Arabidopsis thaliana: one gene and its partners. The protein of the gene in region 3 interacts with the protein of the main gene of each other region in a pairwise test. Each region holds a gene or a part of one and is shown on either strand. Other genes may lie near its edges.

Region 1 (8,819 bases), on a different chromosome or scaffold from region 3:
GCGTCAGAACCAGTTTTTTAAAAAAGTAAATGCAGAAATGGTAACTTAACTGCCCAGTTAAAAGAGTCTAAGAAATCACGTTATTAGGTATTATATGGCTCAAAAATGTGTATTTTGTTTGAAGCACGAGCTTGTTGGTCCAGATATTTTTGTATGTTTCCATATAAAAGCAAGCTATAATTAGTTCAAACAATCACACGTTCTTTGATCATTAATTTTTTTTAATCACAATGAACATTAAGGACTCTTAACATACACGTTTTTGTAAGCAAAATCAAATTTTATCATAATAAAATAAATAAAGGTTTTTTTTATGTATGAAGAAAATGAGAGCAGGCGATTTTGTCGTCCAGTAATGTTGGCAATGGCAGGGGTCACAAGTGGAAAGAAGAAACAAAGATGCGGGACCATTTGTCTTAAATGGGTCCCACGTAAAATGGGTATTCCAACGAATCGGAGCCGCACACTTTCTTAACCTGACTGCAATCAGACGGTGCTAGATGGACCACGTAAAGCTGCCTCCTCCCGTTATCCTATTCCACAAGTAACCAAACGAAATGGCCAATTTGTCCATACATTCTGTAATTCTTTTTTCCTTTCCGAAGTAATGTATTTATCGTTTCACTCGTAAATTTTTGTAAATATATTATTCATATGTTGAATATTATGTAACTTTCATTCTTTAGAAATGATAATCTCTATACGAAATTTTAGCATGAAACTAGATTATAATTTGGTTGACCATAAAAATGAACAATGAAATGGATTAATAGATTTTTCCGAAAACAGGTTAATCTTACGATCATGAAGAGTGATAAGGTTTAACATTATCTTCCACTCCGATCAATCTTACGGAAGAAGAGATGAATTTGGGGATTAGCATTCTCTCAGGTGGTTGTTGATAAAAAAGAGATGAAAGTACTCTAGGGTTACTTGTAGTATATATAAACGCAAGCTCAATATGTTGGTCTGCTTTATACAGGAGCGGGACTTAAAAAAAGGAAACACTGAAAACCGACATACGAAAGAGACGTTGATATTATACCGAACAAAACCAAAAGGAAACATTGGTTGGTTTGCTTTGATTTCTCAAGGAAGAAGAGAGAATGAGTGAGATGTTGTTGGAGATTAGCATTCTCCCTCAGGTTTTCATTATTAGGTTCTTCCAAAATAAAAAGGAAACTTTCGATTGTTTCCTTCTTCAAGAAAAGACATAAACGCAAAAAAGTTTCTTTAAACTCGGGAGTCAAAACAAGTTTAAGTAAAGTCCTAAACCTGACAGACCTTCTAACACTAGCCATTCTCTCATAACCAACCCCAGTTTTGCTATGCATTAGCTTGAAAGCTAAATATGCTTTTCCCACTTTCCTCAATGCATTGATCATCAGATCGAGTCTCTAACTATACCTCCATGTGTGATGCTGAACTGAAGTAGCCAAAGTTAAGCGGCGCATAAGAGCCAGCCATTATTTCAATTTCTGTTAGTTGATAAACAATTTTTTACATTTTATTGGTTCAAAGTTCAAACCATTGTTTTTACACTTTATTCCACACACTATACACATGCAAGAGAGATCTAAGGGTCAGTTGTATGATTGGCGGTGAAGTCAGGCTCGGTGGGTTTTTGAGGTAGCAAAGGAAGAGTGTAGCGAGGAGGAAGGTTGGAGATATTGTGCCTCAGATTGTGAAGCGCGTTTGATGCGAAACGCGACGCGTAAAGAGCGCCTCCAAGGCTCAAGGACGACGACACGGTTGCAGCATTGTGTTCTTTATCTTGACTAGCGAGCGCTTCTCGGAGACGATCTTCTTCATCGCGTAGTGACTTGGCTAACTTCCTCCGACAGTATCTCCTCCACGCTGCTTGTATAAAAGACACGCTCCATGTTCTCCATTGCACTGAGTAAAACCTGTATATATAATCAAGATCCGGTTAAGAAGATCCAAAACCGAAAACAGAGCCAAAGAAGCTGATGGGAGTGACCGAACCGAAAAGTATGTTGGAGTTGCTTGCTATGGAGGCGTCTGAATTGTGAAGCGACAGACTTGAGATCCTCAGCTGTGAGAGCAAAGGCTTCGACTTCAGTGAGAGCTTGAACTGTTCTTGTCGAGATGGGAAAGTGAGAAGAAGATTGAGGATCTAATGCCCACGGGAGAAGATCTTCTCCGCAGAAATCACTTGCCTTTAGGTTCACGGCATTGAAGAACCCACTTCTTCCTCCATTAGTGGTGGCACTTACCAGTCTTCCTCTCATAACAAACAACATTTCCCCAACAGGATCTCCTTCACGGATCACGTAACTGTTCTCGGTGTAGAGCACAGGTCTTAGCCTATCGCAAACCGCGTCAAGTAACTGCTCATCCATTATCTCAAACAAAGGTACCTACCATAAACATCATATAATTTGGATTCTGAGGGTTCTTTAGTTCAGTTTATGGAAGAAAAAGAGAGAAAGCTTGTTACTCACTTTCTTGAGGAGATCGAGGCAAAGATGGCGTTTAATATCTCTTCTGAGGTCTTTAGGGAGGTTACGAAGAAGGGTTTCTTCTTCAACTCCTCTTGTCTCTTGCCATCTATATTGTTCATATCTTCTGATACGTTTCCTCAGGTCTTCAGGTAACATTCTATGAGACATCCACTGCTCTGCATCTCTCTTTCTCACCCTCATTTCCTCTTCTCGAACTGTTGTTGACTCCAAATATTTCTGCAACAGCAAACAAAAATTACATGCGTGTCCTGAGTAACTTATATGTAGCATTATGGAACAAGTCCAGAAAATGAGAAGCGATTATTTGAGGCTAATACCTGCATATTGCCGATAAGTAGAGCAAATAAGACTAGTCCAGATATGCAGATTGATATAGCAAATATGATTTCACCAACGAATTTGCTAGTTTGGAGATTCTGTCCCAATGCACTGCAACAACAAAAGCAACTTGTGAGAATGATGACTTGTTTAAATTGTGACAGATATATATGCTTAAGATGCAAATATAAACAGGTCATTTCACGGCTTAAAATCTCCAAATATAGCTAGTTAGTTATTGTCAACAGTTTTATGTGTGTCTTACAAACCTCAGATTTCGAAGACCCCACCAGAAGCAGTAGAAGAATTTCTTCCAGAAATCATGTGATTCAACAACGCCACTCTTAAGAGCATCAGTGAAGATGCCAAAGTTGAAGATGGTTGAGTTTGTTATATCACCAGGGTCGAGAAATGGGCAAGAAGTGGTCAGGAAATTGTTGCTAACGTTACGATCGTTTTCACAGTAGAGGAATTTCATATTACAACCTTTTGTCTTCTCGCATGCCTCTTGCCAGCATCTGTCTTCTCGTTCTACTGAGATTAAGTACCATAAAGCTCCAAACACCTGAATAAGTAAGTTTAACATATAACCTTTAATATGCATTTACATGTATAAAGATTCAGTCATCAAAAGATCCGAAACTCACATGACTGGCTAACATATAGAGAGAGAGGTTCCAAGCAGCTCCAGCCCATGCTGTTTCAGTAACAATGCCAGATGTTCTTGTCACTTCAGTGTAAAGCGGATACATACGGAGAATCCGAGGAACATATTGAGCAATTATGGAAAATTTAAGGTAGTCTTTTGTTAGCAAAGAGACTGGCTGGTTGACGCTTGGAATAACGGCTAAAACTACTATCTGCAAAAGTTAAGAAGCCAGAGGATTCAAAAAGAAATGATCATTGACATTTTGAACAAGTAATCAAACTAGTCATTTACCTGTGGGAGAGGAAGGATAGAGAGTAGATCAATGATGAAGTAAGAAGAGAGATACTTTAAGGCTATTGCCTTAGCATCATCTACCAGTTCACCTCTTCCAAAAACCCGCGAAGAAGGAGCGATGTAAGCTGTCCTGAACTGAAACACAATGTGAATAATGTAAAAGGCATCGATGAGCGTACGAAGCAAACTCGCAGCTATCTCCAACTTTGAGTCCAAAGTAAGACAGTGCCTTGCGCTATCGACAATGGGAATGTAGAAAAACAATGGATCAATCGCCAAAGCAACCACACAAGCAAATAAAAATATTTTGTTCCAGTTCTGGAGAAACGAATCCTGCGGGTTTATGATGTTCTTCCGAGTAACACTAGATGTTTCCTTGTGGTCAGGATCCTTATGTGAAGGGAAACTCAATGGCTTCTTGAATCCCCATTTTACATTCTTGAAAACTCTATCTAAAGAAGGTCTAGCTTTTCTTCCATAACCATATTCAGAGGATAATGGTTTGCCTTCATCTTTGAACCTAAACAAAATCATAAGAAAATGAGATAGTAGAAAAAATCATTCAACTATGAACTGTTTTCAAGATTTTCTGTAACTACCAACCTTACACGATTATCATGGCTAAATGCCATCAGCCAAACCCTTGTATATTTCAACTGATCTTTCGCTTACAGGGTGACGAGTCCTAACATTATAATAAGAACCAAAACTTAAGACATACGAATTCTTCTACATGATTACGTACAATGATAATCCCCAATACCAATTAAAAATAAGCAAGTAGACACCTAACTACAAATACAATTGTGTTGTGTGTATGTGTTTTTAAATATTTCTTTCTTGAAAAGGTTAATTAGAGAACCTAGAATCAGTCAATTTCCACCTAACATTAGATTATACCAAATCCTGTAATTCCTACCCATTCCTGCTCAATAAATGGAAACCACACGAACAACTTAAAAACACTGTTCATCAAAGATAAGAAATCCAAATTTCAAAAAACCATTGACCATAAACGAAAGACATATATCTAAGCGTTTCGGTTCTGAGAAACAGCAAAATAAATTCAGACGAAAAAGAACAAAAACGGAAATCGGAATCAAAATTCTATCATCAAACTAACCTGAAACGAAGTAGGTAACGGCGAGATAGTAAGATTCGGCTAATAAACGGAAGTCGGTGAACGGCGTTTTCTTCAATTCAAGCAACTGGTCCCGTCGTCGCTGGAAAGAGAGAGAGACTCATATGGCGGTTACTTGTATCTCTCTCTGTATATTGTTTCCTGGAAAAGTAGTATATGAGAATTTTATTATACGACAAAAAGGGAGGGAAAGAGGAATATTATGCAATTAAATATTATAAAGTCTGTTCAATTGAAAATCATTTCATAAAACAATTTCATTCAGATGAATGACTTGGTCAAAGTCAGACGGCGAGAATAAGCAAGTTGCCAAATTTTAAGTACCGGGCCCATTATGAATATTGAGCCCATTTAGATTCATGACCCAAAATGAAGTAACCGCCCCACCATATGTTCCTTATTTCTTTTCTCTTCACACTGATTTATTTTCTGTCGGAAAATACGGACGGCGTCGTCGTTCTTTTTGACGGTGTAGCTCACCGGCGTCGATTTTTAGATTTTTTTTTAAGGTAACATATTCTTCCTTGTGTTTAATCTCCATACTTTTGATCTACTTTTCGTTCTTGTTTAGTCTTTAGTGTTGTTCGAGCTTTTGTCTCCAATTTCAATCAATTCAAAGGGTTTTTAGATTCCAAATTTTGTAGCTTCCGTTGACACATCGAGTTGTCGAACTGTGTTTCGGATTGATCTGTCTGGAGCTTCTATTTCTGCTTCCTTATCTACTGTGAATGAAATTGCCACCGATATAGATAGTTAGCTAGGGTTTATTCGTGAGCTCGCGTAGATGAATTAGGAAGAATTCAGGTGATCATTTTTATGTTGCATTGTCTATTATTGTAACTGAATCTGGAGAAATTTTGATAAAATTGTTGTTTGACTCAGTGCAAACAAATTTACAAGTTTTCAGGAAATTGACTTAATACTAATCTTGAATTTTGCAGGGAAACACTAAGCAGCAAATTACAAGTGGGTGATTTGTGTTTGTTACATAGTCTTATATCTAACTATGTCAGATTCTGGTGAGCCTAAACCTTCTCAGCAAGAAGAACCTCTACCTCAACCTGCTGCCCAAGAAACTCAGTCTCAACAAGGTTACATATACTTCCTTCTATCTCAATTCTAGTTGTCGTCTCATTGAGATTTTTTCTTGTTCTTCGTTGTTAGCTAGAAATTTTCATTTACACTAATCAAATCATTCTTCTGTTTCAGTTTGCACTTTCTTCAAGAAGCCAACGAAAAGTAAAAACATAAGAAAAAGAACCATTGACGCTGATGAAGAAGACGGAGATTCGAAAAGCGAAAGCTCTATTCTACAAAATCTAAAGAAAGTTGCAAAACCCGATAGCAAGTTATACTTTTCTTCTGGACCATCTAAGAGTTCTACTACAACGAGTGGAGCTCCTGAGAGGTCCGTCTTTCACTACGATTCATCCAAGGAAATCCAGGTTCAGAACGACAGTGGAGCAACAGCAACCCTTGAAACTGAGACCGACTTCAATCAAGACGCACGAGCTATCCGTGAGAGAGTTCTTAAAAAAGCAGACGAAGCATTGAAAGGGAATAAGAAAAAGGCTTCTGATGAGAAGCTGTACAAAGGAATTCATGGATATACAGATCACAAAGCTGGGTTTAGAAGAGAACAAACAATCTCGAGCGAGAAAGCTGGAGGCTCACACGGGCCATTAAGAGCTTCTGCTCACATAAGAGTGTCGGCTAGATTCGATTACCAGCCAGACATTTGCAAGGATTACAAAGAAACCGGATACTGTGGATATGGAGATTCGTGTAAGTTCTTGCATGACCGTGGGGATTACAAACCAGGATGGCAGATAGAGAAAGAGTGGGAAGAAGCAGAGAAAGTTAGGAAGAGAAATAAAGCTATGGGAGTTGAGGATGAAGATGATGAGGCTGACAAGGATAGCGACGAAGACGAAAATGCATTGCCCTTTGCTTGCTTCATTTGCAGGGAGCCTTTTGTTGATCCAGTTGTCACCAAATGCAAGCATTACTTCTGTGAGCATTGTGCTTTAAAGGTATGATCATCACAATTACGAGTCTGTTTTTTTTTTAGTTGTGAAGAAATGTGTGAAACTAGCGAGTTTTGTTTAATGTAATGATGCAGCATCACACGAAGAACAAGAAGTGCTTTGTGTGTAACCAACCAACAATGGGGATTTTCAATGCAGCACATGAGATCAAGAAGAGAATGGCTGAAGAACGGAGTAAAGCTGAACAAGGATTGTGAAGTCCTTGTTTCACTGGACAAAAAGGCAAAAACTATATTTGGTTATTTACTTGAGGAAAGCTTTTTGTTTTGTTGTACTCACTGGCCTATATATATTCATTCGGATGACGACGATAGTTGTTTCAAACTGATTAACTTTTAAATTTAAACAAACTGAAAATTGAATCAGAGTTTTGGAGTCAACTTCCTAGTAAATCATCGTCAGAATAATAGTCGTCAAACTCGATATCCTGATTCACATATTTTGATATAGAAATTTGCTTCCCAAATTGAAAACGCGGTCGTTTAATAAACAGGCCAAAAGTAAAGTTCCTTACCAAACTTTTTAATCTAATGGGCCCGTGCGCTAAGATACAGTTAATGGGCAACGCGAATCGGCCCATAAATAAACCACACCACAAGTAGCGGTAACAAGGTAGTTCTATGGGGTAGAAAACGCATCTGAACAGGTAATTATTTGTCCTACAAGGTTCGATCGAATGTTCTCATCTCTTTTTTTCTCTCTGGCTTTCCGATCTTCTAGATTTTCCAAGTCTTGAATGATGAGGAAGGCGAAGGCTGTGGCCTGTGGGTGAGGTCGTGCCAAAGTCTAAGGCTGTAACACGCGTCTGGTGGGACATCAACAGGTGTCCGGTTCCGGCTGACGTTGATGTTCGCAGGGTCGGTCCGTGTATAAAACGGGCTTTGGAGAAATTAGGCTACTCTGGTCCTCTCACCATCACTGCCGTTGGGATACTAACAGACGTCCCTCATGACTTCCTCAGACAAGTCCATTCCTCTGGAATCGCTCTTCATCACGTTCCCACCGGTTTATATCTTCTCATCCTTCATTTTCTAAAATTAGGGTTTTGCTTCTATTTGCCCTTTTTGTTTTTGTTTTTAAGTCTTATAGTTTCCGAAACAGCTCTCTCAGGGATTGGGTGGGCTGTGGTTAAGTGGACCTGGTATAATCAACCTCCGGCTAATTTAATGCTCATATCGTACGAGCATATCTACTTGACCACTCTTGACATGCTAGGTAGGATCGGATACAACACTGTTCGGTCTATTCTTCCAGATGATCCTCAACAAGCCGCATCCTCCGCCTCCCCTTCTACAGGGTCTTTCCTCTGGGAAAGCTTACTGGCAAGCTTACCAGCAGCAGGTCCTTGTCCTCTCTCTCTCTCTCTCACACTCAGTACAGTGTTGAAATAGTTAAGCTGTGTCTGACCTAGTTATCTCCACGGACGCAGATGATATGGATTCAGGGGCACCTCAGGAGGACAAGTGCGGCGAGATGGGTGAACCTGCCTTGCTTTGTGAGCAATGCAGATTTACTGTCCAAGGCTTTGAAAACTTCTCCACGCATCTCAAGAGTGAAGAACATGCACATGAAGTAAGCATCCTAGCCAAAAACGCAGACTTGTTGTGTCCATTTGAGTCAACAACCTCTTACCGCGAGTTTCCCTTTCTCACTTAATTCTTCCAGTTATGTTTTGCCTAAATTTGACCCCATATTTTGTTTTGTCAATGAGCAGTCTCAATACTACCGTAACGAAGATGATGAAACCGATGGAGACGACTACGTACGAGACTCTGAAGACGACGAAGAAGAGTAGTAAGAGTTGTGTGTGTGTTAATGTTATCTTAAGCTATCTAATCCTTTTTATGTTCAACATCTTCTAAATCCTCGTAAACTCTGGTTTT
Region 2 (7,670 bases), on a different chromosome or scaffold from region 3:
TGTCTATAACGAAAATTGTCATCTTATTGTTTTCTTGAATTGTGTTTAACCTTCTTTTCCTTTGACCAAAAATGTGAAATTTGATAAAACGTTTAAACAAAATCTCCTATATTTAAATGCTCTCTAAATTAATAAATCATCAAAGAACCTTAATATTAACATATTTGAAAATTTCAAGTTTCTAATTAACAAGCTCAAAAAGGTTTTGGTTAACGACCTAGGTAAATAGATTCTGTTTGAGCAAAGACAAGCATATGCAATAAAAATTTAAGACGAGGGACGTGGTTTGAGAAACAAGACGCACTTGCACAAAATCGACCTGGTTTTGGTAAGTTGATAGGAACTATAAGTTTCTAATTTTAGGACTTACTAAGAAATAACTCACGAGAGAAATAAATGTGTGTAGAAAGAGAGAAAAAGGGACTCTCGTAAACATTTTTAAAAGAAGAAAGAATCTCAACATTTACGTGTAACCCTAGCTAGTTATCCCGACAGGTACTCGAAAGGGCACTATTAAATAAACATCTATATTTTATACTCCGTATAAGTTAATTTATAAACAAGTAATCGGTAAATAGAGACCGTCAGTTATATACATATATATATATATATATATATATATTGTTTCTTTGACAAAAATATGTGTGTATATATATACAAAAATTCACAGAAATCAGCACTTGGAATCTCAAAGTTATCGAAAAGATCAAAAAAGGACCTGCTCGAGTAGGTCACTTTTGCGTGGCCGTACATTTTTATAGTTTTTCATTATTATTAAAATATCAATTTAAGATGTCATATGTTGTTAAACAGAAGATAATTTTTTTTTTTTTTTTATAAAATTTGAAGTGAACGCCACAAGAGATTTTACGTATGAAAGCTAAAGCAAATAAAAGATGAAGCAAATTTGTTAGTTCAACATTGTTCTTTATATTTCAAAATTTGGTTGTTGTTATAGTTCAGGTAATAAATATTTGCGGGGGTGTCTGTCTAAACAAGAAAAATGGATAGTTGAGGAAAAGAAGAAGAAAATGGGTACAATGTGATGTCAGTTGGTGGAGTGGCAGATCGATGGGATTTTCACTGCTCTTTTGGCTCAAACCCCTATGTCTCATGTGCTTCCCTCTATTTGTTTTTTACATATATTTTTGTGCGAAACTGAAAATATTTTTTTCAATAAAAAACCTATACGTAATATTTCTAATCTTTAAATTTCAATTATGTGGCAGTATAGAAAACAAAGTCGTATAAATTCTATCGATAATATGCATTATATGCAAATTCTAATTCGGACGATGACACAAAAATATCGCTAGTATAAAACTAAGCTACATGTCATGGTGACATGATTTTTTATAAATGTTTGTGTAAGAAAAAAAAAGATAAACATTGTTCATAAATGATGCTTTTGAAACTTCTTCGTAATTAGACAAATACAGTCATGTATTTGTTATAGTATAAACTTTGAAAAAAACAGGGATACGAATAGTGTTATGTTAGAATAAATGTAGGAGTATGTATAGTGGGGAAAAGATGAATAGAACCATCGTTTTCGGTCATTTTGATTCTTTATACGCTTCTTTATGGAGAGAGAGAGGTCAATCAAAGAATCTGAAAGATTGATCTTATGACTTTGTCAATAGGTCCATGCAGGGACCATAAGGACCCCAACATATGAAGATGTTTTGCTAAGTATTGAATCATGGAACAAATCAACGAAATAGTCAAAACAAAAGGTCTATCTAGATAAATTATAAACTGCTAATTGCTCAATCGATATTACTTAATAATGACTAAACATGCCGAGGCAAACATTAAATTTGGATTAGAATTGCATGTTGCATGACAAAACTTATATATGTATTCTTACTATTTTCTTAATTGTTCACAAAACTATCATCTATATCTATCTTTCTATCTATCTATACAAGTGATGGTACACACACATGTCCTACCACTCTGACTCTACCGACATTATTGTCCTGAGTTTTTTTCTTCCAGAAAATCTATGTCCGAATCCCCAAATTGATATGAATACGATACTATGAGCACGATAACTCCGGAATATAATCTAAGAAAAAGAAACAAAAAAAATTCTGAAAAAGAATGTAATCCGTTCTCCAGTGTATGTATCTCTGGTTTTTTACTCGTTCTCCATTATTAATTTATGACGTTTAAGAAAGACTCACAAACAAGATGAATAAATGATACAAGGGGATTTTATGGCATATGCAGATTTTGTTTTGAAGTAATAATGTAACAAATCGACATTGAAGTACCTTCCACAATGCGCACTATGCACAAGAAAAGACTCGTCAAAAGCAAAGCAAAAGGTGGGGATGGCTCTTAAGGTCAACAGCTTAAGAATCTTGAGGAGTCTCGAATCTAGTCGGTGTATCGATACCCGCCATACAGCAAAGTCCACTGATCAAGATGAGAAGAAAAACGATTCCCTGCAAAAAGAAAAAGAAAAGGACGAGACATAATCAAAGGCTTTTACGAAATTTTAACACATTGAATTAAATTATCTTCCAGCTAGATATGACCAAGATGCTCATTAAACTTGTCCATTCTATGATGTTTATGAATCTTTCTTGAGAACGATGAATACCAAAAAAACACGAGTAAAAAGAGTAATTACCACTAGTATGCCCTCCAAAAGTGATGACTTAAATTTGCAGAGTTCATCACAGCCAGTAGCAATTTCAGGAGTACTGTTTCCTTTAGCAGTTTCAGCTAGAAACCTTTGGAGAGTTTTGTAAGATGTGTACCAATAAGGATCAGAAACATAAAGAGCTGTATATTTACTGCCGGATTGTTCTACAGAACTAACAAGTTCCAAGAAGCTTTCACCTGCAGAATAGGTCAAAGAATTGCTTAATTTCCTAGTTCTCAAATGATATCTAATTGTTAGTATTATTTTGTAATGATCTTTCCACTTACGCTCTGAATGTGACTGTCCAGCTTGACTATTCGATTCAGAACCCTCGGAACAGAGCACAACCAAGTCAGTTTCTCCTTCTTTCCTTGTTTCTCTTCTAGCAAGCAAATGATCCTGTCAATTATTAATGAGTATTAGAAAGTGAAGTTAAGGGGGTGATAACACTGGGAAGGCATGGGATTAGGGAAAATAAAAACTTAAGAGCAATGAGTATTACTTTGAAAGACTGCAAGTCTGAAAGTTTCTGAATTGTTCCATCCTCAACAAAGCACGAATCTGAGAACACGATATTGCTGACTCCTACATTGTTGGGACAAGCTTCTTTAAGCCCTGAAAGTAACAAATTCTCCATCCTTTCTTCCTCTGGAGCAGCAATATATGGGAATGCCAATGAGAAGTTGGAAGCTGTAAATAGATTCTGTTGAAACAAAGACTTGGATGTTAGAGTATTGTAAACTTTATATCAAACAACTATGTCAGAGATCTGTGTTACGGATGCAATTTCGAAATTTCTTGTTGAAGAAAAGAAAATTTGCACTTACATTCAATGTGTTAACAAGGGCAGGATCTGAGTTCCTTTTTGAAGAAACATCAGAAGACAGTAACTGCAGGCGGAAGAGAACGTGAATATTAGAATTCTCAGCATAACACAGAAGATACAGAGCAAAGACGATTAATTTCCCGCAATATTAAAACATCAGTTTCTTTACAATATCACAACAAGAAACCAAAGATCCACAAGGTCATTTATGCTAATGTTAAAACAACAATACTACATCATTCAATTACCTCTCTGCCTATGAACACAAGTGCAACATCAACAGGTTGCTCAAGCTTCTTCTCTGAGCACTAAACAAAGGAGACAGTAATGACAATAAGAAAAATCATTTGACATCCAGTGAGTTGTAGAATTGAAATCATAAGATCATGAAGAAGAAACCATACCAGAAAGTTTGACCAACCTCCTTGAGTGAAAACAGAACCAACTAGATCCTTTGCAGACATGACCTGATAATTTACAGCCTCATCCAATTCACCATTAGCAGACCTGATTTTCAGAATCACATAAACCAATCAACCCAGTAATCTAAGCTAACTCACATCAGATATCACAAGTCCCAGGCTTTTTACACATTTCCATCAATCAAATTGAGAATTATAGAGAAAACAAGATGCATAACTGGAGATGCGGAGACCAGAGGAAAGCAGGAACTGTGTTCGGAGAAGCCAATCCGATTTCAAAGAGAGAGGCCACAGATAGAAACACCAATAGCGCCACCGCACCAATTTGAATCTTCTTCATCTTCGTCGTCGAAACAATTCTACCGGAGACAAAAGGAAAAAAAATCAATCGAACAATTCCTCACGCCTAACGAAACAATCAGCAAATTCAAAGATAATCACAAACCTAGAGAGATCGAGATCGCTTCCAGAAGTCGATGTATCAGTAGATTTTTATCGAACTTTCAAATCCAGAGAAAGAAGAGATTCATATCTCCGATCTTCAAATCTGGGCGACACATATGAGTAGTCGACATGTAAGGAATTAACGGCGTCGTTTTTGAAACGAAAATCGCTAACCGAGATAACCGGTTTCGGTTATGTTCAGATATTAACCGGTCTGAAGTTTTGGGCTTGATTAGGCTTTTAAAGATTTTCCAATACGGCCCAAAATTTCGTGACTCCGTTAAGCGTCCGTCACTCTGGACAAGAAACGGAAACCTCCTTAAATCTTATAATAACTTCGTCACGATTGAACGGAATATTTCGTTTCCTCATTTTTTTATTTTGTTGCCTCTTCTGCAACGCGATCCCGCCAAAGACACTCTTTACTTTCTCCCTCACGAAAATTCTCAAATCGTCGTTCTCTCTTGATTCACCGATTTCGTTCGCCGGAAAATTGCAATTTAGCATCAGAATCGTCGAGCCATTTTGTATTATGAAAGTCCATTGAAGTAACAAGTAACGAGAGCTGCGAGGTTGAGATTTTACGATGCTTTGTGTTTCGTTACGAAATCGAATACATAATTGGCTTCGCGACTACGTTAGGCTCCAATCTGTCGTTTTGATTCTTATCTATGCTCAGGTAAATCCGTAATCGCTTTGTAGTTGTTTCATTTCCTCCGATTTCACGTTTTTTCTCGTGAATTGTTCGTATCTGTTTGGGATTAGGGTTCTACGATTTCTCTGTCGATATTTGTTTGTTATTCTTTTAATTGTGGTTAGAAGTGCAAGAAACTCATATTGATGAATCATTTGTTTCAGATAGGGTGCGCGTTGATCGGTTCACTAGGGGCATTGTACAATGGAGTCGTGCTGATAAATTTGGCGATTGCGTTATTTGGGTTAGTAGCAATCGAGAGTAATAGCCAAAGTCTTGGCAGAACCTATGCGGTTCTTCTTTTCTGCGCCATTCTTCTTGATGTCTCATGGTTCATTCTCTTCTCCAAAGAGATTTGGTATGTCACTATCCTTGGAACAGCCGTGCTTGTGATCATGATCAAATATTTGGTTTAAGAGTTTGCTCTGTCTTGTTTAATTTTCATTGCATCACATATTGTAAACTGTCCTGAATTTCTCTTGATTGGCTCATCATCTTTTTGAACTGATTGATCTTTAAACCTTTTTTTTTGCAAATCTTTGCTATGTCGTGTTTAGATTCTGTTGAGCCAGTATTCATCTGCTGCCTATAACTGACAAAAGATTTAATTGTTAATGCAGGAACATTTCATCTGATATGTATCAAGTCTTTTACATCTTCTCTGTGAAACTCACCCTGGCTATGGAAATTGCTGGGTTCGTTGTGAGGCTATCGTCCTCTCTGTTATGGTTTCAGATCTATAGGCTGGGAGCTTCTATTATAGACTCTCCATTTCCCCGTCAATCAGATTCAGATTTACGGAATAGCTTCTTAGAACCTCCTCTTTTAGCTAGGCAACGTTCACGTGATCCAGAATTACGAAATAGCTTCTTACAGGCTCCTGCTATAGCTAAGCAACGTTCACGTTCTGACGAAATCTTGGAAGATTCTATTGACGAACCTGCCTCCTACACTCCTCTGTTAGATGGCGGCCTAAGCAATATCACTTTGCCCAATGCAACACAGGTCTTTTTATTTCTACCTATTCTTCTCTTAAGTTGTTTGTGTACTCATTGTAGTTGAGGTTTTTATACTTGGTTTGTCTATGGTTTTACCAATTGGGTTTCCAGATGCTTCTTTTCGGACCTTTCTTTTGAAACTGTATGCAATATAGTGAGAATTGGATTGAACTATCTAGATCACCCAACCATGCTTTTTAGCTCTTTGCCACTCTAGGTTAGGTGAAACTTGTTTCTCACTAACAAACAAAGGCCACATAGTATTGATATTACATCATAGTATGCTGCTTTTCTTGTCTCAGTACTCCTCTAAAACTTACACAGACATAGCAAGTGGGTTTTCAACCTTTTGTAGGTGATTAAGCACCATTCAGCTGGAGACATTTACAAAGGATCCCAATCATCTGCTGCAGAAGCCTCTCGAAAGAAGTCTCCTCTATCCAGATCCTTAGAAGCACTTCATTCTAGTCTCTGTTGATAGAACATCTAATGATTGTGGACGGTACTATACTATACCTTGCTTTTGGTTAGGTTAACTTTCACACTTGACCTTTTTATAGACATAGAAAGAACACTTGTTGCTTTGGTATATCCTTGGACTCAGTAAATTGCATGTGTTTGTCAATCTACATTACTACTTGCAGCACTGCTCTCAGCTTTTATCATTTTTGCCTGGCAGTTTCCAACTCACTTTTGCAGGAAGATAGCTTTTGTCACGAGCAACTTCATTCAACAATTCTAAGGCCATTCTTTGTTTTCAATTTGAAGAATCCAGATCCGAGATTTACATAGTGGATAACAAGCAAGAACAATGCCTTTATCATCATTCATTTTACTCGGAACTGTATAGAATTGGGGTTATTTGGACTACGAATGTACATTAGCATTCTTTTCTGTACATGAAAAATAGGTGAATCGGAGGGTTAGTATAAACTTCAAAGATAGTTTTTTCATCCAAAATGTTTGGTAAACAGTGAAGTTTTTATTGCAGATTTTTAAAGTAGCAACATGATTTGCCTATGGGGAAATATTCTTTGTAATATCCGTAAGAGAATAGAAGAAACAGATATAAACATAATGTTATCATTTTATAAGATCTAATGACAACTTGAGGAGACTAACTTGGTGCCAGATTCCAGCCATTTTAGTCTCTCTATTTGACTCGAGTTCTCCAACTCATATGATTAAATGAATGATGAATATGGCGTGGCATGGGGCCTAATGTTGAACCACCGGCCCATGTGAATTGCGAAGTTGCGGTACTAATTAATTAATTGGGCCTAATAGTAGCCAAGGAGTTTCGTGCAAATTAATTCTTTGACCTATAAAAATTGGTATAACTTACTTATCCACGTCGGTCTGACTATTATTAAGATGAGATTTGATTAGATTAATAATTTTGAAAAAGGGGTCAAAGACTCAAAAAAGTCTGCGTGGATCTCCAGCCGTTTTCAGACACTTACCCACAAAATATTCCTCTCGGCGATGATCCCTTTCTGCTGAATTTTTGGTCCTTTGTCGCTCGACTGTTTTCTTCGTCTACTATTTGTTCCTTTTGGATATTCTTCGGACTTTTCGTTGATTTGATTTTCAAGAGGTAAGTTAATAAACCGTGTTCCCCGATTCTCCT
Region 3 (8,398 bases):
TTGTGCATTGGTAACAAAGTAGATCGTGTCCCTCATCACCTTGCTCATGATGAATATAGACGGCGCCTTTTGAAGGCATCAGACCCCTCTAGAGATCTGTATTCGGACATTGATGACTTTGGGATCTCCGAAACTGAAGGAAGCAGCTTGTTGGGAAGTGAAGATGCATCACTAGATATCAGGGGAGCATGTCTTGAGTGGTGCTCTGAGAATAACATTGAGTTCATTGAGGCTTGTGCCTCTAATCCTGATTTTGACAAGTGTAAGTTCTATCTCCTTCCTTCTGATTATATATTGACTGCAATATGCCCAATGTAATCTGGTTACTCCTTGTATAGCTTCTACTGAACTTGTGAATGAAAAGTGAGTGAAAATGGATGAGCAGAGAATACGCGTATTCGTCTCTCTAGCATTAATGAGGCTCACGGGTTGGTCCTTGTAGGTTTATCAGTCGATGGGGATTCTCAAGGGGTTGAACGTCTATTTGGTGCTCTTTCGGCTCATATGTGGCCTGGGATGATTCTGAAATCTGGTGATAGGATAAATGAACCTGTGTTACCTCAAGGGGAAGGTTAATTGTTTCTTCCACTTTCCTCTCCCATATATGTATGAGTTCCTGAAATGTCCTTTCCCGGTTAGAGTTTCTGTTCGACCAGGAAGTGGTAGACCGAAACTCGACCCAGATAAGAAATCCTGGTGAGGACATTTCATTTCCACTTGGATTCATGTTGATTGGGTCTTATATTTCCTCTCAGAGTTGTCAGAAGAAGAATCTGAATATGAATTGGAGTATGAAGTGCTATCAGCAGGCTCAGGTGATCCATGGGATAATATTGAAGAAAGATGGGTTTCTGCAAGTGAAACGCATTCACATGCCGATGCTGGCGGATCCACTTCACAGGAAAACCTCCATGTAGAAAATAGTATGGTGAAACCGAATAAAGTTGATGAAGAGCTGCTGCCGTCAGGGTCAAGGTTAGAGCTGCAAAATGACACTGACAGAGCAATAGTAACAGATGAAAAACCTTTGGGCACAGAAAATGAAAAATGTTACGAGTTTGAAGATGTGGAACAGTTGATGTCAGAAATAGGAAACATCCGGGACAACTTGCGATTGATGCCTGATTTCCAGAGGAGGGAAATAGCTGCAAATTTAGCGATGAAAATGGCTTCCATGTTTGGAGGTGACACTGATGACGAGGAAGAACCTGAGTGAGTCTGTTTATATCAGATATTGTAAAAGATCAGCGTGAGCTACGGTTTAATCCTTTCTTTATACAATCTTTATCAAAGTCCGTGTCTTGTTTTTTGATAGATTCTGGCAGTAATAGTCAGTTGCACGATGTAATACTTATCTGGGCCGACCTGTTATGTATCGCTTTACTTTTTCTTTAGATACGTAAGAGCTCTAAAATACAGCCTTATACAGAAAACCTAGTTGGTAACACTTGGCGAAGCAATTGTTGGCATACATGTAATAGAAAATAAAGACCGGATGATGGATTTGTTCTGCATTCATTTTGAATATTAGTCAATATCATTAGCAGGAACGTTCTTCACAAAGGAGAATTGGTTTCCAGGACTAATATCTCCAGTATATTCTATCTCTGTGTTCTGATCACCAACCCTGACGAGAGTGTGCCCCTCTATTGGTTCAGGGGATAATGGCTCAGCTTCAAGATCAGACATGCTTTGGTCCTCGAAATTACTCATATAAGAGGCTGTCGAGTGACCAGTGGTCTTGGAGCGGAGTAGAGTGGCTCCAGAGGCGTGAAAGGATGAGGTAGAGGTGCTGACAGTGTCAGAAACACCAAGGGTCTCTGTTGGTGGCTTTCTCGCTTTGCCTTTCTTCTTCTTCACAGTCATGTGCCATTTCTTCAACGCTTTTGCCATTTGCTCATCAAACACAGCTTTCTTCATGTTTGAACCCATCTGCCCACAACAACAACATAAGTTTGTTGCTTAGTTACTACTATATAGCTTCGTAGACACAAATATCTGGAGAGTAAAGGCTGAAATTAGGATAAATGTACCTGAGTAACTAGTGCATACAAAGGAAGTGTGATGTAGCTGCACAAAATCAAAGCTCCAACGCTGCAAATTTATCAAACTTGTTGAGCTAATCGTTCCAAGAGAGATATATCTATTAGTTTATTCACTAGAGAAGAATAAGAATAAATTTTACCCTAGAGAGAGTTTTACGATGACTAGTTTGAAATCCGTGTGAAAGCAAGATTTTAGCCCAAAGGAATACTGCATGCCAAATTAACGAAATGTATCAAGTCATTTGTATCAATAGAAGAGAATATGTACATGGTCCAAAAGGCAAACAACTAGTGTATTGCGCATAGAATATAGAGAGATGTTGTTACCCAGACCCAGAAGAAGTATGTTAGCTGGAAAGCATTCTATACAAAAAGAAGGAGCATTTAGACAGCATGGCACAAAAGTTGAAGACAAGTATATGTAACATGCAATGGTAGTTTTGTTTGGAACTGAAAACAATGCAAGTACCTGAAATAAGGCGAAGTGAAGAAGATGAAGTAGCAACTGAGGGCGATTAAACCAAAAGTACTTATCTGAACCATGCACGAGAGGTATCCCTTGAACAACTGCGTGTCTCTCCGTGATTCCCAGAGCCATTCTTGTTAGGATCGCTTGAAGCTTCGTACTGACAGCTAGAATGATCTGCAAGGGGTTGTAAAAATGAGACATACAAACACAGTATAAGATTCGCTCAAGAGTATAACTTGTCTTACAAGTACAGGTAGGATTGACGCCCAAAACAATGCTTCCCAGCCTAAACAGGAATGGGATTATTTATTCAGTAGAACAATAACCAATGGCTTGGTAAAAGAGCAAGCAAATGCAAAGCTGACTCACCATTAACATTCAGAAGTAGGAAAATTACAAATGATGCCCACAAAAGAGGACTGCACAGTACAGTATCAGCAATGTCAACAAACACCTCTCAACGCAGTACTAGCTCTAGCACTGTTTTGTGCTACGTACCTTATTCCAACTACCACCTTGAAATCGTCTTCCAATGATCTTTTGATATACTTCTGGAAGTCGAACTTTCTTCCTGGAGCTAAATGGGCCTAAAGGAGACTCACCCATAAGCATCACACCATTAGTGGAAGGCAAATACAAGAGAGAATTGAGTTTTGCCTTACAGCGATGAAGCCATGGCGCAGAGTTAAGTAGTCAGTCCTCCCTACAGATCGGAAAAACTGCTGTAGGAAGCACCCCTGTAAATCAGATGGTTGAGAGAGCGAGCAAAAATCAATTTTTAATCAACAAACTTGATGCCACGAGGGCATGCTCAAGAAGAAGTAAATGCATGCTTCTCACAGCATAAAAGAAGAAGGGGATTTTTGTCCAGAAACTGGAATGTTGTCTAACAAAGGACGTCTCATGAGTGAGTCTGAATCTTGATGGATCTATGCATAGAGAGGAGCCACTTTAGTGACCTATAAAACAAAGGTTTAATTTAATGAACAAGAACTCGCCTACCGATTGAAAACTCGTAATCATGAGAACATGTCTCCTGCTCCCACTTTTTCCAGCCACGGATCTGCAGTTACAGAAAATGATGAATAGCTAGGATTACGAAAGTTTGAGATAAGAAAATCAGGGCTTGTCGTACCTTGAGTCTGCCAAGCATCATGGTGATGAAACTGTAGAGGATATGAAAGGCAGCCATGAAGAACAATAGAATGTGTAGCTGGTGCAAACCCGTGGCAGGTATGAGTGGTTCATGACCCTGCGGACAACAAAAAAGTGTTAGAGAGATAGAGCTAGAGCGTAAATTTTTTAGTACAAGGGAAGCTAGAGATGACCTCATCGCAGCGGGAAGAGGTCGTAGCAGCAGCTAGACGTCTGCGGTGGGTCTTGTCTTGGTCATGAGTAGAAGGAGCTGGACAAGGTAACATAGAGGCTGCAGCCTTTTCAGGAATACAAATCTTGAGAATGTACTGCTCTCCGAAGGTGAGCAACAAGGAAATGAATCCTAGAATCATCAGCTCTGCATCCATTTCATATATCTTAGTTTTCTTAACCAAATACGGTAGGAGAAAACAATTCTCTGGTCTTACCCGCCTTTATTTTCTCCAAGGCTTCAAGCAGAGAGTTCTTATGTTTCTCCCACAACCACTGAGAAATAAAATAAAAGTTTAGAGGGCGGAAGTAAAGGAAGAAAGAAAAAAGGGAATTCAGGGCAAACCGTGGCAACTCTGTGAAGAGCCTTCTCGAGGAGGACGGAGACAAGAATGAAGAAGGTACAGACGAGGGCAACGGCCCAGGTGGGAGTTTGGGAGAGTCCTTTCTCTTTGGCGCCGCCTGCAGAGGAAGCTCGGGCAAAGCCGGTAAGCAGCTGAGAGCAGAAGAGCAAAGTGGTCCAACACCAAAAGCATCTTGTGGCCATGGTAGCCAAAAGAAGAAAATCCCTTGGTCCTTGATTACGTACGTGAAACAATGAAGAGGGCAAATAAATGCGGTGTTGACTGAAAGTCCGTTTACTGTGATATGTAATGCATAACAATAAATTATGGGAAGAGAATCAATCGTCAATGTTTGTTTGACACTGGAGGTACTTGAGAACAATCAACCTAATAACACTCCTCCATGTCTCTTTTCGAAACCCAACCCTTACAGTAGTCAACAACAAACTAATGTCACTGTTGTGGCTCTATATATCAAAACTAAATGACAATTTGATCCCCTGTGAGAGATCAGAGGGGTAGAAGAACAGAATCGTCCAACACACTCGTCAGTTTGACTATTTGGTTATGCTTTTATGATTGCTTTCCCCTTTTAGTATTTCCACTTTTAGTTAAATATAACCCAACTTGCAACTTTAGAGATATAGAATGTTATCTTACTCTTGGCCGTTGCTCCACTATCTACCACCTTTATTTATTTTTTCTTTTCTTTATGTACCTACAATTTTTTAAATGCATGGAGGAATCATCACTTTCTCAGCCTGGGATAACTAATATGATTATAACAAAAGGCTCCTCTTTGTCTCTATCAAGTTTCTTCCCTCTTTTTAGTTTCACGTAATCCGATCATGTTGTAAAGTTTCTTTGTAGAAATATATATTTTGACAATGATAAAACTAAATGTATTAGAAATATATCTTCATTTGATCATCTATCGTTGATCATATGAATAATTTGGAAACAAATGGACAATGAGCTAAGCCCATATATAGGCCTCACAATAGCTGCCTCATACATACATACCATGGGCTCTTTTAGGCCTATCTACTTCTTTGTTATATGATCGAAATCAAAAGGTGCCCTTGTGTAGACACGCCATTTCCTAGTCACGCAACTATCTTATCTCCCGGACTTGTTCTACCACAAAACCTGGTCTCATCCTTCTTACCGTTTTCTTGTTTAAACAAATATTTGACTCTCTTACTTTTAATTTATTATAATCATCAGCACACGTAATTCTCCGAGACATACAAGCAAACGACGGTTTCCTCTTCCTCATCTTGGTTTTAATCCCACAAGTTTTTTTTAGCATATCACTTATTTTTTGATTGGATAAATAAATTCGAACAAGATACTGTGGAGTTGTAAAGAGGAAACAGAGGAGATGTGCAGGATGAGATTATTTTCCCCAAATTACAATGCAACTGTTTTCCATGTGTGCATATGTGATATGTGCAGGGTTGGGATCAGTCAACTTAGCAGAGTGGCTTGTGAAAGTCACACATATCACAGTTGACATTTTTTTTATTGATATTTGTAATAAAGTAGAGAGTATGAGCCTATGAGGAGCATTGTGGACTTGGCATAGCAATCAGCTTGGGGGTCAAATTCAAGAGATGTTTTGTATCGTGACTTTATGTTAGGTGATAAAGACAAATAATATTATGATTAAAAGGTCAAGTTTGGCCACTTTGAAAAATGTTAGTTTGTTAGTTGTGACTCATGTGCTCGAATATCCATGGATAGTTTAAATACATCTCTCTAGCTAGAGAAAAAGAAAGCGGAAATAAAGATATAAAAATATTTGGAAAGAAAGATACTGGGAGCAATTTAGCTACAGCATGACGATGAGTCTTACTTTGATTCTGTCAACATTATTAACCTGAGACAATCCCAAAAGTCTTTCGTCCCAATATTGAATCTTCTAATTTTGATATCTATGTGATTTTGCATATGCACTACCTGAGAGACCAACAGTACCTAGAGGCCAACTTGTCCTTTTTATTCACCTTTCTTGCATGACTTTTCCTATGTTGAAAAGTTAGACTCCTCTTTTACACTTCATGTACCCCACTCCTATACGTATTTAATCTAAATATATATACCCACCAATCCTCTCCATCTACACAAACAGCCCAAATATCAAACCTTTCATCTCTATATCTTTAACCTTGACTGCTTCTCTTCTTCTACAAGAAACCAGAAAAAAAGAAAAGAAAAGAAAAAGAAGAGATTAGGGATGGGTTTCTTAGAGTTGTTGGAGGTGGCTTCAATGCCAATCGTTCAAGTTCTTCTTATCAGCGTCCTTGGCGCTTTCTTGGCAACCGATTACTGCTCTCTTCTCTCTGCTGACACCCGAAGATCCGTGAACAAGGTCAACCTCCGTCTCTGCTTTTCTTTTTTCTGTTTGGTGTCAACTATGCATGCATTCATATATCATCACTAACAAACATTTTCCCTCGCAGCTCGTCTTCGTGGTATTCACCCCCTGCATCATGTTTGCCAACCTTGCCGAGACTGTCACATTGCAGGACATTATTTCATGGTATGCACTACCAGTCTCCTATCATCCCTCTGAGAATACATACGTGTGGCTTTGATTTGACCAAAATTAGTTTTGTAGGTGGTTTATGCCCATAAATGTTGGAATCACCTTTCTAGTAGGAGGCATTCTTGGATGGTTGGTGGTCAAGCTACTGAACCCCAAACCTCAACTTCATGGCCTCATAATTGCTACTTGTGCCTCAGGTAACATTAAAACCTCAAAATTTAATCTCAAGGAGGAGAGATATATCCCTGAATTCTCACATGAATCATATTTACTGTCCTGTCTACGTAGGCAATATGGGGAACCTTATGCTTATACTGGTCCCTGCCATCTGTGACGAGGAAGGCAGTCCTTTTGGGAATCGTAGTGTCTGCAGATCCATTGGGCTCTCCTACGCATCTTTCTCTATGGCCGTAAGTCAAACATACATACATATGATCTTCTGATCTCTGCTCAGACTTAATTGTTGAGTTGATCGTGTGATTAATTTTTGTCAAGGGCAGCTCGGGGGTTTCTACATATGGACGTACAGTTACCAACTGGTAAGAAGCTCTGCTACACAGTTTAGAGCTCTTGAAGCCGCCGGGTTGGTCAAGTCTCCCAACAAGGACATCGACTCTGATCCCCACGCTCTTCTCCTCAAGCCGCACCAAAACCAAGACCTTGAAATCCAAGGCAAACAAAAAGTGTCTACCAGGACATACATCAAGGACTTGCTCCATCAGATTCTTGAGGAACTCTTCGCACCACCCACCATTGGTGCCGTAAGTCTTTTTAAAAAAAGAAGACATGATTACGTTTCCAACCAACAACTAATAAATCCACTGCTCTGATGCGTTGTTATATGTTCCATTCAGATTCTTGGCTTCGTCTTCGGAGCAACCAATTGGCTAAGGAATCTTATAATTGGGGAGAATGCCCCGTTGCGAGTGATCCAAGACTCAGTAAAGCTACTTGGGTATGAACTCATCTTTTTTGAATATGGAAATTACAATTACATCACGACTTTGCGCCTAATAGTTGACTTGGCAGGGAGGGCACAATTCCTTGCATCACACTCATACTGGGGGGAAACCTGATTCAGGGTCTGCGTTCATCAGCTGTGAAGAAATCAGTGATTGTGGGAGTGATAATTGTGCGCTATATCCTCCTTCCCGTGGTGGGAGTCGGGGTGGTCCAATTAGCAGGAAATCTAGGCTATCTTCCTCCAGACCCTCTCTTTCGATACGTTCTCATGCTTCAGTTCGCACTACCGCCTGCCATGAATATTAGTAATTACTCAAGCCATCCCCCTTCACTTCATTGTTAGCTAGATACGGATGATTAATCATACACTATATATATATGGATTGCAGGCACAATGGCACAACTGTTCGACGTGGCTCAAGATGAGTGCTCGGTCATCTTCTTGTGGACCTACCTGGTTGCATCTTTAGCCCTCACCGTCTGGTCAACCATCTTCCTCTCCATCCTCTCCTGAGTCTGATTTGAAAAGAAAATGGAGTTTGTTTGGTCTCTTGTATGGATTTTTTTGATTTGTTAATACTCTCATAGTATTTTTGTTCATTCACATGTTGCCAAATAAAACAGAGAAAGACAAAAGTATGTATGTTTCACAGTGTTGTGG

What was found.
Region 1: the proteins of MLO10 (region 3) and CNGC10 interact in a protein complementation assay, tested with the Arabidopsis thaliana proteins (one large-scale study listed by BioGRID).
Region 2: the proteins of MLO10 (region 3) and AT3G13410 interact in a protein complementation assay, tested with the Arabidopsis thaliana proteins (one large-scale study listed by BioGRID).

What each region holds. Positions count from the first base shown.
Region 1 is NC_003070.9:130,838-139,656, forward strand, and holds CNGC10 (cyclic nucleotide gated channel 10), read right to left. Parts: upstream 5,088-8,819; 5' UTR 4,871-5,087; intron 4,486-4,870; exon of another isoform or gene 4,433-4,485; 5' UTR 4,380-4,432; coding exon 4,351-4,379; exon of another isoform or gene 4,282-4,350; coding exon of another isoform or gene 4,268-4,281; coding exon 3,745-4,267; intron 3,665-3,744; coding exon 3,452-3,664; intron 3,370-3,451; coding exon 3,074-3,369; intron 2,916-3,073; coding exon 2,804-2,915; intron 2,703-2,803; coding exon 2,466-2,702; intron 2,382-2,465; coding exon 1,987-2,381; intron 1,908-1,986; coding exon 1,577-1,907; 3' UTR 1,433-1,576; downstream 1-1,432. Other genes in the region: AT1G01335 (auxin-responsive endogenous peptide protein), read left to right, coding at 1-21; AT1G01350 (Zinc finger (CCCH-type/C3HC4-type RING finger) family protein), read left to right, coding at 5,895-5,979, 6,098-6,921, 7,011-7,133; AT1G01355 (Putative endonuclease or glycosyl hydrolase), read left to right, coding at 7,676-7,704, 7,760-7,941, 8,026-8,277, 8,366-8,508, 8,651-8,731. UniProt on the Arabidopsis thaliana protein: Probable cyclic nucleotide-gated ion channel.
Region 2 is NC_003074.8:4,359,789-4,367,458, forward strand, and holds AT3G13410 (2-C-methyl-D-erythritol 4-phosphate cytidylyltransferase), read right to left. Parts: upstream 4,529-7,670; 5' UTR 4,350-4,528; intron 4,264-4,349; 5' UTR 4,245-4,263; coding exon 4,123-4,244; intron 3,990-4,122; coding exon 3,887-3,989; intron 3,791-3,886; coding exon 3,731-3,790; intron 3,547-3,730; coding exon 3,484-3,546; intron 3,360-3,483; coding exon 3,159-3,359; intron 3,056-3,158; coding exon 2,944-3,055; intron 2,854-2,943; coding exon 2,642-2,853; intron 2,454-2,641; coding exon 2,361-2,453; 3' UTR 1,847-2,360; downstream 1-1,846. Other genes in the region: AT3G13420 (uncharacterized protein), read left to right, coding at 4,935-5,027, 5,207-5,400, 5,663-6,047, 6,396-6,518.
Region 3 is NC_003076.8:26,385,982-26,394,379, forward strand, and holds MLO10 (Seven transmembrane MLO family protein), read right to left. Parts: upstream 4,787-8,398; 5' UTR 4,427-4,786; coding exon 4,226-4,426; intron 4,156-4,225; coding exon 4,098-4,155; intron 4,028-4,097; coding exon 3,843-4,027; intron 3,767-3,842; coding exon 3,650-3,766; intron 3,578-3,649; coding exon 3,517-3,577; intron 3,444-3,516; coding exon 3,355-3,443; intron 3,252-3,354; coding exon 3,177-3,251; intron 3,102-3,176; coding exon 3,013-3,101; intron 2,934-3,012; coding exon 2,884-2,933; intron 2,801-2,883; coding exon 2,760-2,800; intron 2,689-2,759; coding exon 2,515-2,688; coding exon of another isoform or gene 2,409-2,514; coding exon 2,373-2,408; intron 2,254-2,372; coding exon 2,186-2,253; intron 2,095-2,185; coding exon 2,034-2,094; intron 1,933-2,033; coding exon 1,528-1,932; 3' UTR 1,447-1,527; downstream 1-1,446. Other genes in the region: AT5G65960 (GTP binding protein), read left to right, coding at 1-262, 443-571, 756-1,216; AT5G65980 (Auxin efflux carrier family protein), read left to right, coding at 6,463-6,597, 6,689-6,768, 6,847-6,971, 7,063-7,184, 7,275-7,535, 7,629-7,729, 7,804-8,042, 8,127-8,251.